2 linked regions of the Pelodiscus sinensis genome follow. The protein of the gene in region 1 interacts with the protein of each later gene in a biochemical or structural test. Links are inferred from orthologs where the notes say so. Each region holds a gene or a part of one and is shown on either strand. Other genes may lie near its edges. The genes, in order: CEBPA and TRIB1.

Evidence for each region.
Region 2: the proteins of CEBPA (region 1) and TRIB1 form a complex in vitro, tested with the Homo sapiens proteins (2 studies listed by BioGRID and IntAct, with this or other methods). The link is inferred for Pelodiscus sinensis from reciprocal best matches to the Homo sapiens genes CEBPA and TRIB1.

Annotation. Positions count from the first base shown.
Region 1 is NC_134722.1:21,991,868-22,000,888, reverse strand, and holds CEBPA (CCAAT/enhancer-binding protein alpha), read right to left. Parts: upstream 5,882-9,021; 5' UTR 5,592-5,881; coding exon 4,620-5,591; 3' UTR 3,104-4,619; downstream 1-3,103. UniProt on the Homo sapiens protein: Transcription factor that coordinates proliferation arrest and the differentiation of myeloid progenitors, adipocytes, hepatocytes, and cells of the lung and the placenta.
Region 2 is NC_134712.1:18,400,211-18,409,231, reverse strand, and holds the start of TRIB1 (tribbles homolog 1), read left to right. Parts: upstream 1-4,728; 5' UTR 4,729-5,106; coding exon 5,107-5,427; intron 5,428-6,935; coding exon 6,936-7,228; intron 7,229-9,021. UniProt on the Homo sapiens protein: Adapter protein involved in protein degradation by interacting with COP1 ubiquitin ligase. The COP1-binding motif is masked by autoinhibitory interactions with the protein kinase domain.

The sequences.
Region 1 (9,021 bases):
ACAAAGCTTGAGCCATCCAACCATTCCTCCATTAAAAGAGACAAAGATTCTTTTATCACTTTCCAGGTCACCTTGTTTTGCTTATAAGAAGCACACTGGATCTTTTTCAGGGTAAAATCAATACACTGTGTTTATTGAAAATACAACATGAAAATCACAGAGGTGCTGCAGATAGCATGATAATTACCAGTCTGTTACAGTGGCCAGTTAGAATCAGGTTAATACAGGGGTCTCCAGTTTCTGCATGATGTCACTGATGATAAACTAGTGTCTACCTCATCTACAAAATCAGAGAGGCACATGGTCCTAAGAAAGACCACTCCTGCTGGAAAGAAAACCATATGCAGAAAAAGAGGAAACACTCCTTATTTCCAGAAGTTTAGTATTTTGAAGTCATAAGGGTTTATTGAATTTTAGGTATTTCAATTTACAGCATTGCACAGAATTAACATTTTGGATGTGCTTTGGGGTACTTTATTCTGATACTCTGATTTTTACCTCATTTCCTGCAAAGGCAGGTCGATTTTTGACAGATTTAAAGCTTGTGACACGTTTTTCCTGAGCTGAAGAGGTTTTGTTTGTTTTGTTTTTTATTTTCCTGGGAGTGGGTTCCTTTCTGCCCGCCCCCAGCCGGTATTGTAGAACGGCCTCCCAATGGCAGGAGAGCCCCCAACACAAGCCCATCGCCTCGCTCCCTTCCTTGATCCAAACTTTCTCACTCCCCTTCTCTTCTTCACGTCGGGACAAGCAGCACCAGCGGCACATTTCTGTATCCCCTTCGCCCAGCTCTGCTGACCCGGTCGCCGCGTGGGGGAGCGGAGCACGGGGCACCGCGTGCAGATGTGCTGGCCGCACCTCGCGTGGGGGCTGCGCGTGCTCCTGCCTCTGTACGTGGCTGCGGCGGGAGGGGAGATCGCCTCGCCTGCTGCTTTTTAACGACAAGGGGGCAGATTAAGGGGCGGGGGAGGGGTCAATGAAAGCTCCATGTCCCGGGCAACCATCATCGGCTTCCCCCTCCGCTCGGTGCGCAGTCTGGGCCGGGGACATGCGGCCCTGAGCGGAGGGTCCCTGCTCTGCTCTCCCCCGCAGAGAGCCGCGCAAGGCCACACCCCCCTGCACCTGTCCCCGGCGCCACTGGCAGCAGCTCGCCCTCCCCTCTCCCGCAGCAAAGTGCCAGGGACACCCCCACCCTGGCGCCCGGAGCAAGGAGGGGGCGGCAGAGCGCACCCCAGACTAGGCGCGGGGGCGCTGGGCCCTATCACCAAAAGGCGCGGCCGCCACCCCCTCCTCGGGCAGGGCCTGGGCCTGCGCACAGCGGGACCGGCCCGGCAAAGTGTGTCTCGGCCCAGGGGGAGCGGAGCGCGCGCCGCCTATTGGAGCCGTGCCGGGGACTTGGCTCTGGTCCTACGCCGGGACCCGCCGGAGCCTCCCGCGGTCGGTCTGTTCCGGGCGACTCTGCGCGGGAACGAGCTGGCGCGGGGCTGGAGACTGCAGGATTCCCCCCCCCCCCCGCCCCCCGGCGCTGAGCTGGACTGGCTGGTGCGCGGGGACCCGGCTTTTCTTGCAGGCTCCCAGCTGGGCGGGCCCCCTGCGCGCCTCCATCTCTCAGGTGCAGGCGCCCCGCGAGCCTCTTCCATGCGAGCTCTGCCCCTTCGAAGCAGCCCTGCCGGGCGGAACCGCTGCAGTAGCTGCGAGGTTGTAACATGGGGCCACGCTCCCTCCCCCGCTTCCCAGAATCAAAAGGGGGGAGGCGGCCCGGCGAGCTCTTCCTGCCCCGCAGGTCGGTGTCCAGGCACCACGAAGTCTCTGACGGGCTCGGGGGTGGACTTTGTCTCACCCGCCCGCAAGGGCATCTGGGGGCAAACTCACTCCCCTCTGGCAGCCGGGCCGCGCTGTCCCCGTGTGACGCGAGGACCAGGCCTGTGGCGCGTAGACGCTGACGAACAACTCGCCCTCCGAATACCCCCGGCCCCGATCCTGCTCGCGCAAAGCGCCTGGGTTAGCAGGGCCGAGCCCTCCAGGTGCGGAGGAAAGAAGGGACGGGCGGGAGCGAGCCTGCCCATTTGGTGAAACTTAAGTGTCCCCATTGCTGTCCTCTCCCCGGCCCACGTATCTCCAGGGGCCATTCTGGGTCACCGAGCGTTGCGAGTTCTCCTGAGCGGGCCCCGCCACCTCGCTGCCTCATTCTGCAGCCTCTCCACACTGGCCACATCTCAGGCCCCGGTTTCAAGGTTATTTTTAGCGAACCCATAGAGGTCAAAGGACACAGGCAGGAGGAATTACCCAGGCTGTGCAGGTTGGAGCTGCACTCGGACCCGTATGTTTTTGCATTTCTTAAATGGTTGTCTTTGAGCACGCAACTAGATCTGACTAGAGCCCAGGCCTGTCTCCCTAGGAACTCCAGACTCGCTGCTGAAGAGGGGCACGGGGTGACAACCAGCAAAGAAGTGCTTTTAAATCCCACCCATGGTTCTCCCACCCATGCACCAAATATACCAGTTTTCTCCGGGCAGAACAGAACGCCTTTAATATGGTTGTTTTGAACGAAGCAGGAGAAATACCCCCAGATCCTCAACTGTTACTAACCCACAAGAGCTGTCAGTTCAGTGGCAAGGCATCCCAACGGGGCAGGTCATTTTGCTTTGCTAGGGAAAAAATAATCAGAAGTAGTACTGCTCTTACAACAATGGCAACTGGTTTTCTTATGTTCTTCAGCACAGTAATTTAAAGTGTTAAGCATATGAGAAGGGGTGACCACAGTGGCCCGCTGTAATAGACCCATTACAGTTTGGACATCGTTTTGTTTAAAAAAAGTGTATATCACTCACTACACAAAATTAAAACGACCAGATCTGGGAGTGATTAATGCACATTTTAAATCGTAATCAGCGATTACACTGCCACCCACGTGAAATAAATGTATTTATTTCTCTGGAGCTAAATGGTTATTATAAGTGCAAGGTATACATTCAAATTACCATGCATAGCAGGGTGCACGTGGAAGGAGGAGAGGGGAACAGATTCATATTTCAGTAGAAGGGAAACATTTTGCTTCAGGTGCAGCCCCCGGGAGGGGGGGGGGGAGGAAAAAACAAGGAGATAATTATGGTAGAATATATATTGTTTATTTATGAATGTAACCAGAATTGACAAACTTTATATGCAGGATTTTTTTCAATTCATAATTCACCATGGTATGTGTGTATAGAGATGATTAGAAAGATATCGCTATAGATATCTATACACACACACACATACCTACAAGCACACACGCGCACACACACACACCCATGCAAGCAACATAGCTTTCCAGATCTCACACTTGCAAACATTAACTTTCCTTCACCTTGCACTTTTCTCCAATTACTCATATGAGAAATTCATACACACATTATAAAGAAAAGCACCGGCTGGTTAAAAGTGCTGGCTAGCAGGGGGAATTGGTTGCTGTTTCCTTCTCCCTTGGGAGGATCCAAAGAATCTACACAGCTGCAGTTAACTAGCAGCATCTTCTTTCCCCCAAGGGGGAAGAAAACCCAGAGAGTGGATGTGACCTAGCCCTCCCTTCCAAGGTAATCAAATCCCAGGCACCCAGGAGGTGCAGACTTTAGGGTTATTAGGAGGCAGCTTGCCCCCTCAGGAAGCTATAACCAAAAATGCTGCAACATAAGGGTTATCTCTCTGCCACCAGATAAGGAAATTGTGATGGCAAAGATGGAAGCAATACAATACAATAAACTGTGGCCACTATACACAGAAAGGCATCACATTACATGAGGCACAGCTTGGAGAGAGAAGACAGGTTCGGTGAGGTGCTTAATATCCCTCGAAGAAAGCAAAATACATTGAAAGTTCGTAGTGAATACCCGCATCGATAGGCATGTATTGGTATGTGCTTCGCCATGTCACGACATACAGTACAGGCATTGCTGCTCTTCGTTTTGGTTGAAGGAGAAAATGAAGGACTCCTTAGCTAGGTGCTGTTCCCTTTCAGTCTTGGGGTCCCCTCTAACACTGAGGGGGAGGGGCAATCTATGCGTTGCCCCCACGGTCCAGCAAACCTTGCCTTCACCTAACAAGAGACTCATCTGAAGGCACCAGGGGCGGAGTCTTGCTTGCACTCGGCTTTCCCTGACACCTAACACAGCAGGTATATTGTCTCCCAAGTAATGTCTCACCCACGCCCCCCCCCATCACTCCCCAGGGAGGAAGACATACACCTCTCCCCAGCCAGGACCAATTAAGCCCCAAACCCACCAAGAGCGCACGACCCCTACCCGTCTGCTCACGCCCCTGTCGGGCTGACGGAAACAGCCCACAGAGCTTTGGAACCCAACTTGTAAGGCACAGCGTGGGGGGTCGCTACCCTGTAGCCACGTGGGCGCGTTCTGGTTCGTTGCAAAGCACAATCTTTTCAGCTTATTCGTGTCGTTCCTAAGGCACGGACCGTGTCATACTACAGCTGCCTGGATTCTTTTATTTGTCATTCAGAATTAAAAGCCAAACTCCCCCCAGGAGAGCCGCTGCTCTCGACCCCCGCAGGGATCTGAATAGGGCCCCGAGAGTTGGCAAAAGGCCGGGCGGGTTTGGAGAGGCGCGGGAGGCGAGGCCAGGGCGTCTCACGCGCAGTTGCCCATGGCCTTGACCAAGGAGCTCTCGGGCAGCTGTCTGAAGATGCCCCTGAGTGTCTCCAGCTCCCTGGTGAGCTGCTCCACCCGCTTGCGCAGCCGGTCATTGTCACTGGTGAGTTCCATCACCTTCTGCTGCGTCTCCGCGTTGCGCTGCTTGGCCTTGTCCCGGCTCTTGCGCACCGCGATGTTGTTGCGCTCCCGGCGCACCCGGTACTCGCTGCTGTTCTTGTCCACGGACTTTTTCGTTTTGCCCCGATGATCCCCGGGAAGCATCTTGAGGGAGCCGGCGGCGGGCAGGCTGTTCGGGTGGTGCGGGTGGTGAGGGCTGGGCACGGGGGTGGGGGGCGGCGTGGGGTGCCCGGGCTGGAGGTGCATGGTGGTCTGCGCGCAGTGGGCGATCTGGTACTGGAGATGGGACGGGTGCTGCTGCTGGGGGAGGTGAGGGTACAGGGAAGCCAGAGCCGTCTGCTTGCACTCCGCCTCTTCCCTGGGCTCCTGCTTAATCACCAGGGGCCGCAAGCCGGGGACAGCGATGCGCTCGTACAGGGGGTCCAGCTTGCTGTCCGTGTAGCTGGCCATGCAGCTGAAGAGCGACTGCTGGTGGTGGTGCTGCGGCGGCGTCTGGTGCTCCTGCCCCAAGGCGGCCGCGCCGGCCCCGGGCATGCTGTGGAAGTCGAAGTCCCCGGCCAGGACGGCTTTGGCTTTCTCCTGCTGCTTGCTGTGCTGGAAGAGGTCGGCCAGGAACTCGTCGTTGAAGGCGGCCGGGTCGATGTAGGCGCTGATGTCGATGGAATTCTCGTTCTCGCAGATGTCGCTCAGCTCCGCTCCTCCCGCAGCAGGTGTCGCCGCCGAGGGAGCTTCTCTGTAGCTGTAGGCGCTGCCGGGCTGGGGCGTCTGGAGGTGGCTGCTGCTGCTCATCGGCGGCCGGGGCTCGACCTCGTAGAAGTTGGCTTGCTCCATGGAGTAGCTAAACTCTACCAGGCATGGTGAACGGCACCTGGAATCCAGGGTTCGGAGAGGGCGAAGTGGACCCAGGCGGCTGGATGAAGCTCTCGGAGCCTCGGGACGTCCTGGCACCAAACAGCCCCCGCGGCTGTGCCTATCGGGGGGGTAAGCTGCGAGCCGCTCAGACTTCCCCTCTCACTCGAATCAACTTGTGCTACTTCTTCCCCTGCACTCAGCGATCCCTCCCACCGGCGTGTCCGAGTTCCTCCCTCCTACCCGTCACTTACTAATAGCTTGGCTGGAGCTTATGCCTGCTATATATACACTCCCGGCAGGGCTGGGGATCGCCCTCTAGTGTCCAATCTCCTGCTGGGAACCTTTGACCACAACGCCACTCTGCCAATTTTGCTGGGTCTTAGCGCCCGCGGGACACGTCCCAGACTTCCTCACGTTGTTACAGTGACAAGCCACTAGGCAGAGATAAGCACAGCTCAGGGTCCAGCCAGCGTATTGGAGCGCGGTATTAGTATGCAATGCTGACAACGAGAAGGAATCATTTTCTCCCCTGCAACCGGGTGGGCAGCAAGCTCGGACGGAGTATGCAAGTGGCAGAATGCAACAAGTGTTCCCCCACCCTCTCCCTTCCAAAGACTTGGAAATAACCAGGCGGGAGAAGAATGCCGGGTCTAAACCTTCTGGGAAAGTTAAGCATCTGGTTGCATTGCTCAGAAGCCCCGTGGCACGTGTGTGGCAGTCCCAGGTACTCTGAGCCCCGCCTTCTGAGCTCAGGAGGGAAAGAAGCAAAGTGGCCAAAATACATCAGCGCATTTCCATCATTCACTGCGATCGTGGGTCTTTGCTTTTCTACAGAACCGACCCATTAAATCCAGTGAAGAGCCTGGCCCTCCTCTGTTTTACACATACCAGCTGGACAGTGTTTGCCTAAGTATCAGAGACTTTTTTAAGCAACTCGTTGTTCCTTGAACTAGGCGGCCCGTTACCGTGCGGGTGCGCTGGGAGTTTCAGAAGCAGCTGAGTTTTAACAAGTTCTCAGCAGCGTGGTTTGCACGTGAGACGACCCCCAGTGCATGCGCTCCCTTGCGGATTACAGGCTCAAACCCGGTACCCTCCATACCTAACCAGGGGCCGTGACACACAGGCACTTGTCCCAGACCTAAGAGTAAGAGTCTGTAGTTAAACCTAAAGTCACCCCTTCGGGCACTAGGACCCAGTGGAAAAGCCGTATCAGTCGCCTCTTATCTGGTTGGCTAGAGGCGGAGCCCTTAGGGAAGAAGGGGCTGAAATTCTGCTTCTCTCTGCAGACTGCAGCTGGCCAAGGGAGCCTGCTTTGGCTCAGCTCAGAAAGGATTTTTTTTTAGTGCAAGGCACAAAAAAGCTCCCGTGTTCAAGTAACTCCCTGCGAAGGAGCCTGCAGAGAAGACCTGTAGCTGTAGGCAAAGGCTTAGGAGGGATTAAAGTGGCTGAGTTGCACAGAAGGGTTGCAATGGGCCAGAGTTATCTTTACAGCGTACAAAGTTCGGTGTGCGGCATAGCTGCGTCTCACGCCTGATAACATCACTCAAGCCAGACGTCTGTGATCCTTCTGCTTCATTACGCCGGGGCATTGATTAGCTGTCACATTTATTATGGGCCCGGCAGAATTTGGGTGGAAAAGCAGAAATGCGCCAAACCAGGCCCGCTCCACTGACTCCAAGCCAGTTTACCCAAGCAGTAGCCCCAGTAGTGCTCTGAGGGGTGGTCTCTCCAGCACACGCAGTGGCACAACCGGCTCCTCCGGAGTCTGGCTCACCTCCATGGGAGAGTCTTCTGGGTGTGCATGGGGAGGGGAGCCGAAGCTCCGGCCCCTTGCCAGCCCCAGCGCTTCCCCGTGCCTGGGGGCGAATGACACGGCCAGGCCTACTTTCGCAATAGACAGTCGGCGATAAAGGCACGGGCCCTATCTGTCCAAATGGGCAGCCAGCCGGGAGATAACCAGGATGGCTGATTTCCGAAATGCAAACACAACAATCTCGGGTTGCATCGCGCCTGACCCAGCTCTCAGTCTCCCTCCCATCAGCTTCTGGGCTGCCCCGTGCCAGGGGGACTGGGACAATTTGTCGGGGGGGGGGGGGGTGTTGGGGGGGAAGGAAGAGGGGCTAAGAGCCACTGAAATACTGTACATCCTGTAAAGAATGGAAACCACTTCAAGTCAGGGGGTGCTGCAGCATCCCCCTCCGCTTCTAGTCCCAGCACCTGTGCCTCTAGCCTGGGCCTGGTAACTATGGCTCAGGGCTGGGCAGAGACTAGAATTTGCCCAGCATCTTTCTGTGCCCACAGTTGGCTGTTTCCTTCATGCTGGCCCAGCAGGTGTCACCAGGGTGCAGTTCCCCCCATGATGGATTTGAGAGAGGACACACATTTCCAGAGCTGCCCTTAGGGGGCCCTATGCACAGAGGTGAAAGTAAGTGGGTGCGCCCTGGTGCTCAGTTCTGCAAAAACTGTCTGAGCTGTGGCAAAAGCCAGTAGGGAGCTATTTAAAGAGCTGGCAGGGATCCAGGGTGCAATAGGACAGTACCTATAAGAAATGTGAGTTACATTCACCCCTGCCTCCACAGTACCGTTAAACTGATGCCCCTATGCCCGATGGTAACTGGGAGGGGGGGAGAGGATGAGATGGTGATTTTTTAGAGATGTAATTTTATAATCTTCAGCAACACACTAATGAATTTTTTAAAAACAAAATTTTAAATTAAGGTACTGTAAACTAACACAGTAAATTCAGAAACTGACAGCATATAGGTGAGGTTGGAAAATGCCTGTTAAATGGCTTCACTACCACTTGAATGGCTCTCTCATGGCTTCCATGTTCTGCTAAAAGGTCTGGCAGGCCTTGTTACTTTTAAGTTAACTAGAACCTCTCTTAGGGTTGCCAGGTGTCCAGTATTGACCCGGACAGTTTGGTATTTTTGCCTCCTGTCCAGTAAAAAAATTCAGAAAATGCTGGACACCTGAAATGTCCAGTATTTTCTGTTTTTTTCCCCTGCCAGGAGACGAAAATACCAGACACCTGGCAACCCTAAGACACACTCGGCTACTGGGCCCAGCCCCTGCCCCCTCCAGGGCCCGCAGACCCCGCCTCCAGACCCTCTGCTTACCTGGGGGGGGAGGGAGTGCTCGATCAAGAAAACAAGATGGCCACGGGCAAAAAGACCTGAAGCAAGGGGAAGCAATGTCTTCCCTAGGTCTTAGTGCTCAACCGCTCCGCTCTCAAACGTAAAGGGGCCATGCTGTTTTATTTTATTTATTTTAGTTGCTTAATAACTTTTGGGGTCTTATAGACTCATAGACTTTAAGGTCAGAAGGGACCATTATGATCATCTAGTCTGACCCCCTGCACAGCGCAGGCCACAGAATCTCACCCACCCCTCCCAGAATAATCCTCTCA
Region 2 (9,021 bases), on another chromosome or scaffold:
AGTGGCAGCAGAGTGGGGTGACAGGCAGGAGCCACCCCACACTGTAACCCCATGTTTAACCATGTAACTGCTGAAATTTTCAGCAGTTACACGATTACTGAATTAAACACATTTTAACATCCATAGTTTGCATAGCAACCTTCACAATAGGTCATCTTTGCATTAGAAATAACGCTATTGATCTTTTGCAGAGCATCCTCACATATCCTCACATTTTTGGTCATATGCAAAACCACTGCATAAGCATTTAAAATTTCTGCCAGTTTCCCAGCTACATAAAAACTGTAGGTAGAAATAATAGTAAAGCTACTTTTAAGGACACCTTTTCAAAACAAACAAACAAAGCAGTCTCTGCAATTCGTGCCTCTATATCCATCCATTTGCATGTCTAACGATCAGATTTGAGCTCATAATCAGGTAGTTACTGGTACAAGGGTGCATCTACACAGCAACATCATTTCAAAATATCACAAAACTGCCCCAAAAAAGTATTGTAGAGCAACACTATTTCAAATGTAGAGAATAACCTCCTATTTGAATAAGCATAATCCTACAAGTCAAATGAAACTTCCCAGAATTAGAAAAGGTCAGATTCTCACTCATATTTCATCTATAAGAGAGAGAACACAAAGTAGCATGTTTTAAGAGATGAAGAGAACTGCTTCAGAAACAATCTGCACATCTTTAACAGAACCATGTTTCTGAAAGCAGAGAAAATGCAGCCCCTGGGAAATCCCTGTTGGACATATGGTTCTTATGTTCAAACACATTAATGGGCCTGTTATGCTATGAGTCATCCAACACAAGAGTTTCATGTGTTTCTTTAAATACATCGAAATTAGCTGCAGGCATATATGATGCTGCAGAGTGGTTATTAAGAATCGCGACAAATACCTGCATTCATTGAAGTGCTGACTTTCCTGATGGGAAAGACCTCATTTAGCTTATTAGCATATTTTTGCTAAAACAAACTAGCAGACTAGAATCCTGATGGTTACACTAATTGAAGATACAGTTTAATAGATGAGAGGCCCACTGTGCTGCTATCCAAGTCTCAGTGCTGTATGACAGAGAATTTGTGTGTGTGCAAATAGCACATTTTAGTTTTTCTTCCTCCTGAAGAATTCTGTCAAAACTAGAGCTGGCTGAACTATCTGTAGGGAACATTTGTCAGTTATGTTGCTCTTTTTTCCATTTGCAAATAATCTGTGAGCTCCTCCTGATTTCTGCCAATCAATTTTGTTATTAATTTGGAGCTAACATTCTCAGCCTTCAGGTGGCTGGCAAGCTGTTCAGTTTAATGCTGAAATTCACTGGGTATGATCAGTCACCTAAGTCACAAGGTATTATTTCACCTATGTGACAGCATCATTGAAACTTTTTTGAACAGAAGCATGACAAATAGTAAATATTTTTGGTCATATGCAAAACCACTGCATAAGCATTTAAAATTTCTGCCAGTTTCCCAGCTACATAAAAACTGTAGGTAGAAATAATAGTAAAGCTACTTTTAAAGACACATTTTCAAAACAAGCAAACAAAGCAGTCTCTGCAATTCGTGCCTCTATATCCATCCATTTGCATGTCTAACGATCAGATTTCAGCTCATAATCAGGTAGTTACTGGTACAAGGGTGCATCTGCACAGCAACATTATTTCAAAATAACTAGCATTATTTCCAAATAACTTAGTCCGCATCTACACAGCAGGCAGGTATTTTGAAATAATGTTGAAATACTGTCAAGCTGGAAGACTTCTTACTCTGAATCCTGTAACCCTCAATGTACGAGGAGTAAGGGAAGTTGGAGGAAGAGTGCTGTAGTTCAAAATAGGTGCTGTGTAGACTCCCCGAATTTCGAAATAAGCTATGCAATTGACCTAGCTCAATTTGTGTAGCTTATTTCAAGTTAAGGCCTGCTGTGTAGATGAACCCGAAGTGTTTAATCTTACACCTGCACATTCATTGTGAGGGCAGGGGTGCTGGAGCAATTTTTAAAGCAGGAGTGCTGAGAGTCAGTGAAACAAATTGTAAACCCTGTATCATACTGCATGGAATGCCACAGTGATATGAGGAACAAATACTGTAAAACCTAATTTAATGCATGGCCATAGATATTACCATCACTTCAAATGCCTAGCTGCCTGCATGGTAGGAATGTGAAAGGAGAGCCATGCCAAACTGCATGTCTTACTGGTAGATTATATCTGAACTGCATGCAAAGCCACAGTGCATACACTGTTGCTAGGTAACACAGCAGAATCCTATGCAATGCAGTTCCGGAGCTTTATACTTGCAAGATTAGTTTGTACAGCGGAGAGTGTCAATGCAAGAGATGATTCCAAGGTGTAATGGGGATGGTCTTATGGTAAGGGCAGTGTCCAGTGGTTTAGGAGATCCAGATACAGTTTATAGTTGTGCTGCCTACAGCCTTGCTGCATGTATTTGGGCAAGTCACAAGTCACTTGATCTCTCTGCACCCCCATTACAATGATATTAGTGACATTGTTCTGTCTCACCAGAGTTTTGTGAGGATGAATCCATTGCTGTTTGAACAGCTTTCACTTGGACACACAAATACATGCAATACTGAACTGTGACAGATGTCAGCCTCTGGCAATGCCCAGCTGCATGCACTGCTGCTTTATGACAAGGTATTGCATTCTCTGCTGGAGTAGGACACAAGGCAATATGCACTTCTGCAAGGTGACATAGAGTTACATGCACCCCTGCACACACACCACAAGTCCTGCTGGAGGGTGACACAGAGCTGCATACATCCTTCTCCCCCTTCTCCACTGCATATACTGCTGGAATATGGCACAAAGGAGCCACATCCCCCCCATACACACTACACATACACACTACATATATTGCTGAAATATGACACAACAGAGGTCCATGCATTGCACACCCTCTACACACCCCATGCACTGCTGAAGGGTGACACAGAACTGCATGCACATTGGAGTATACCAGAGGTCCAGGCATTTTTCCCCCACCAAAGACATACACCATATATGCTGCTGAAGGGTGTCAGAGAGCTGCATACACCTCCTTCTCCCACCCCACTGCATGCTGCTGCTTATGAGTTAATGGTATGGGCCACCGTACTACGCAACTTTTAATATCCCTACTGCATACATTGCCCCCCCCCCGCCCGCACACACTGCATACACTGCTGGAGTATAACAAAGTTCCATACATCCCGCCCCCCCTTCCCCGCACACACTGCATACACTGCTGGAGTATAACAAAGGTCCATGCATCCCCCCCCTCTCCCCGCACACACTGCATACACTGCTGGAGTATAACAAAGGTCCATGCATCCCCCCCTCTCCCCGCACACACTGCATACACTGCTGGAGTATAACAAAGGTCCATGCATCCCCCCAATCTCCCCGCACACACTGCATACACTGCTGGAGTATAACAAAGGTCCATGCATCCCCCCCTCTCCCCGCACACACTGCATACACTGCTGGAGTTTAACAAAGGTCCATGCATCCCCCCCCTCTCCCCGCACACACTGCATACACTGCTGGAGTATAACAAAGGTCCATGCATCCCCCCCTCCCCGCACATACTGCATACACTGCTGGAGTATAACAAAGGTCCATGCATCCCCCCCTCCCCGCACATACTGCATACACTGCTGGAGTATAACAGAGATCCAAGCATCCCCCCCTCTCCCCACACACACTGCATACACTGCTGGAGTATAACAAAGGTCCATGCATCCCCCCCCCTCTCCCCGCACACACTGCATACACTGCTGGAGTATAACAAAGGTCCATGCATCCCCCCCCTCTCCCCGCACACACTGCATACACTGCTGGAGTATAACAAAGGTCCATGCATCCCCCCCTCCCCGCACACACTGCATACACTGCTGGAGTATAACAGAGATCCAAGCATCCCCCCCTCTCCCCACACACACTGCATACACTGCTGGAGTATAACAAAGGTCCATGCATCCCCCCCTCCCCGCACACACTGCATACACTGCTGGAGTATAACAGAGATCCAAGCATCCCCCCCTCTCCCCACACACACTGCATACACTGCTGGAGTATAACAAAGGTCCATGCATCCCCCCCTCCCCGCACACACTGCATACACTGCTGGAGTATAACAGAGATCCAAGCATCCCCCCCTCTCCCCACACACACTGCATACACTGCTGGAGTATAACAAAGGTCCATGCATCCCCCCCTCCCCGCACACACTGCATACACTGCTGGAGTATAACAGAGATCCAAGCATCCCCCCCTCTCCCCACACACACTGCATACACTGCTGGAGTATAACAAAGGTCCATGCATCCCCCCCCTCCCCGCACACACTGCATACACTGCTGGAGTATAACAAAGGTCCATGCATCCCCCCCCTCTCCCCGCACACACTGCATACACTGCTGGAGTATAACAAAGGTCCATGCACTGCTGGAGTATAACAGAGATCCAAGCACTGCCCCCCCTGCATGGCCTGCTGATGGATGACACCGAGCTGCATGCCCCCCCCCCCCCGCGGCATTCGCTGCTGTCTGGGTGACACACGAGAGCCGCTTTCGCCCATCCCAGTCTTCCTCAGTCATCCCCGGTGTCCTGAATGAGGCGGGCGCGCCAATGAGAGCGGGCCTCGCTCCTTTGGCCCCTGCCCACTTCCCCTTGCGTCAAGGGAACTTTTAAGCTCCTCGGCGCTTGGCAGCGGCTGTGGAAAAAAGCCCCAGGCTGCGGCTCGGCGCGCGGTGCCCGGGTGCAGGGGGTGGGGAGACCGGGTTGGTGGGGAGAAAGGAAGGGAGTAGGGGGGGGGGGGGCTGTGCTCTGCTCGCCATTGCACAACCCTGCCCCGCCGACAGATAACCTGCGCGTGAGCGTGCGGGGTGACTCACGCCGGGAGGGCACAGCCCGGGCTGGCTGCTCGCTCGCTCACACACTCGCCGAGCAGGAGGCGAGAGGCACCGACTCGCTCCGCAGCCCCGGCCGCCTTGGAGACCCAGCCGCGCCCCCTGCCGCAGGGACCCGCTGGGCGCCCGCCGCCCCCGGCCGGGGAGAGCTCCTGCCCGGCCGCGCTCCGTCTCTGCCCCGCCGGCGCGCTCCGTCTCCATGAGCCGCAAGACGCAGCCTCGCAGCCCGGGACTGCTGCTGCCGGCCGCCCGCTGCCGGGGCGCCCCCTCCAAGCGCCTGCTGCTGCAGCCGGACGGCGCCGGGGAGGACGCGCCCGCGCCCAAGTGCCCCCGGCTCTCCGAGTGCCCCAGCAGCCCCGCGGACTGTCTCAGCGCGCCGGGCTCGCCCTGCGCCCCCGCCTCTCCGGGCAGCGCCCCGAGCCCCAGCCTCATCGCCGGCTACCTGCTGCTGCCCCTGGCCGACAGGGAGCATGTGTCCCGGGCGCTCAACATCCACACGGGTCAGGAGCTGCGCTGCAAGGTAAGCGCCAGCTGCCGGCCGCGGCGGGGTCAGCCTAAGGGGAGTGGGGCTTGGAGCCCGGTTACTGCTCCCTCGCCCAGACCAGCGCTGCAGCCTTTGGGATGCGCCCCCCCCCCCCCCCCCCAGTGCTGGAACTGGGGTGCGCCTCTTGGCTTGAAGCGGTTTCCACCAGAGCCAAGGTTTACAGGTGGATAAGGAGTCCTGTGGCACCTTATTTGGGCATAAGCTTTGGTGGGTAAAAACCCGCTTGGTCAGGCTGGTTCCGTGCCTCTCAGCAGCCCCACAATACAGATTGTTCCAGCATCCCTGCCTGTGTGCTCCCATTGATCCCTGCCAGCCACAGAGCTTGGGCAGCTGGGCTGGGAGGGAAAGGGGGTCAGTGGCTAGGGACCTGGGTGCCGTTCTGATGACTTTTGCATGGGGGTCTGCTGGTGAGAAAAGTTAGATCTGCTCTCTGCCGACACTGCCTAGATTCCACACTGGGGTGTTACCAGACTCCCCGTCTGAGCTCATTGGATTCCCAGTGACTGTTGCTATAGTTAGCTTTGAAGAGGACTGTGGCTTGTAAGGGGAGGAATAAAAATACCAGGAGCAGACGCACATTGGAAACAGTCAAGTCTTCCAAGCAAATGCTCTAGCTTAAAACAAAGGGCCAAACTGAGCTCCATCAGCAACAGCTCCCGCCCTGTCTCCTACTGTCAGTGACACACAATAGAACAGTTCCTGATTAGCCCTGCTTGCAGAGTTTTCCATGAGATGTCAGCAATGCTTTTAAAGAACACACTTATGCTTGTCTGGTCTGTTGGACCTATTTCTGAATGGGCTGGTTGCTGACTCTGAGTTTACTGCTGCCACCTGCTGCCTGCCTCTAATGAGATAAGGAGTGTTTTCTAATCCTTTCTTGGCAGATGGGCCTAAAGGCATGTTTCGAACTGAAAATAAAGTGGGGAGGGGGAGGTATTAATGATTGTAATACTGGGTATGAAGGAAGTGAAATTGAAATTGTAAGCTGTGCCTCCAAGTTTCTCCGTGGAGATATCAGATTAATAGAAATGATGACATTCCCTGTGTGTCACTGATTCCAGTCAGGCCTAGGATGTGAGTAACTCTAACAAAGCTTAACAGCTCACCAAGAGAACACTGTCGGATCCTTACAAAACATCCGTCTGCCTGTCATTCCCTGAATTAAACATCTGTGGGTTTCATCCTTTTGCCTAATGCAGCTTGCGTACCGAGACTTACAGTGTGACCACAATCACTGGTGTGTGAAACCTCGGAGTAACTGAAAGGCAAAATCATCAGTAGTTCTTAAACATTTCTTCTCCATCAGATTACTAATAGCTGAATATTTTTGGAAAGTGTTTCAGTGGCAGGTTTGAACATAATTTATCTTGAGGGCTGGCCTCCATCCAGTTGTCTCAGCATTGTCCCTGGAAATTTGTTGTATAGTACACAAGCTTTAGCACCCCTAGTAATGGAGGGATTTTTTTTAAATTTTGTCTTTACAGGTGTTCCCTCTCAAACACTACCAGGACAAAATTCGACCTTATATTCAGCTGCCGTCTCATAAAAATATTACTGGGGTAGTAGAAGTGATTCTGGGGGACACCAGGGCCTACGTCTTCCTTGAGAAGGACTTTGGGGACATGCACTCCTATGTGAGGAGCTGCAAAAGGCTGCGAGAAGAGGAGGCTGCCAAGCTGTTCAAGCAGATTGTCTCAGCCGTAGCTCACTGCCACCAGTCGGCCATTGTGCTGGGTGACCTCAAGCTCAGGAAATTTGTCTTTTCTACTGAAGAAAGGTGAGTTGTGCTGAATGAGTGGTCTTCGTGGAGGTGGAGAGGAGGAATAGCCCTTCCTGAATAGATTTCTCCTCTAGTTAATCAAGGTTCTATAAAATCTTCAGCGCAAACTAGGGGAAAGGCATTTTCTTTGGGGGAGAGGGGGACACACTGTAGATAAGTGAAATAAGGTTCTAAACCCGCTGTCCTCTGCAACTTGTCCTGTACACCACTTGGGGTGAGGTGTAGGGGTGTGTGTCTGTATCCCTAACATGTCATGGCTCTGATCTGTAAATATTAATTTTTCCTTGGAGCTTGAGTGTACGTGTACTTACCTAGCATAAATTCCTTTCTTATTCAGCAGCTGCTCCGATTAAACTGTTTGGTGTACAAACAGATAACGATTTGAGAACTTCCTAGATCTAGATGTCAAAAATGCAATGCATTTGAACATCAGATTCAAAGTGAAATGAGAAAAAAGCAGGAAATGAAATGAAGCTGGGACATTATATAACAAAGGGGAAACAACTTTGATTTAAAAACAAAGGTGTAAAGAATCCAGGCTGCCATGCTGTAACTGGATTTTTGCAGGTGAATTCTTATCTTTTTGCAAATATCCACTGAACTCAGTGCTAGTGTAGTTGGAGTCTGTGTTATTCAAAGTTACACTTACAGTGAAAGTAGAAGCATTTCTCTCTCCTCCTTTACAGAGTTCAGCCTTCATATTTAAGATCTAAGTGCCACATGTCTGGTGTGCTTGTATATGGTCATAGACATCCCTTCCCCTCGCAGAAAGAAATGAATGAATTAAATAGAGTAAATGTTGCAACTTGAAGGAGAACCCAAATGTTAAATGAGCTACTTGTGGTATGGACAGACACACACTGTCTCTAATCAATTTTAGCCCTAAGTATAGGTTTTGTAAAAGTTAGATTTACAAGATCTAGGTCAGTAGAACTATGCCTGATTTAAAAAAAATTATTCAGACAAGAAAAAAGTATGTAAACAAACATTTCTGTGCAATGTTTCCTGTCCTTGAGTTGCAGCATAGTGCAATTCAAAACCTGAAAGGTAATATTCTGAACAAAACTGAAAGTAACTAGTTTATTATTCTAGTAAAAACTGCAGAGAGTCAATACCATTTCACCATGGGGACATTTTTTAAATTCTTTCACTAGTAATAGCTAAGATCATAAAACAAGGAAATTCACTTTTTAAAATAATTTTAACTTGGACAATATTGCTGAGTTAACTTATTAATGTATGAAGCAAGGTAGTTGTTCCAATGCTTCCTTTTTTTTTTTCTAAGTAGAAAAATATATATTACCCTACAAAAAAGCTCCCCTGAAGGAAACTTTTGCAGTTTTTCCAACCAGTCATGATAAGATGCAGCCATTGCTGGAATATAAAATCACACACAGTCTTTCTAATTTGGAAATATGCATTGTACAGGCTAGTATCTTATGCATCAGATTTGGTAACATGAGGGTTAAGCAGTGTAAGGCAGACTCTCTTAGTCTAAGAAGAACAGGTGCAGTGTTTTAGTGCTACAGCAGCCAATCAGAGGCCAACAGCATAGGCTGAGTCATATTTTCCGTTTACAGAACCAATGGGTATTTTACATTACGGTAGGAAGTCACATTGAGGACATGCTGCAGTTAATGTATTTACGCACCATTAAGCTGTAAGGCAGAATAAAGCCGTTCAAGAGCAGAGGAAGGGCCCCTCATCTAATGTAAAACCTTTCTACTTTCCCTGTGCAATTAGGAATTAGGATGAGCCTGTCCCTGCAGAAGAGATGGCCATTGCAGCAT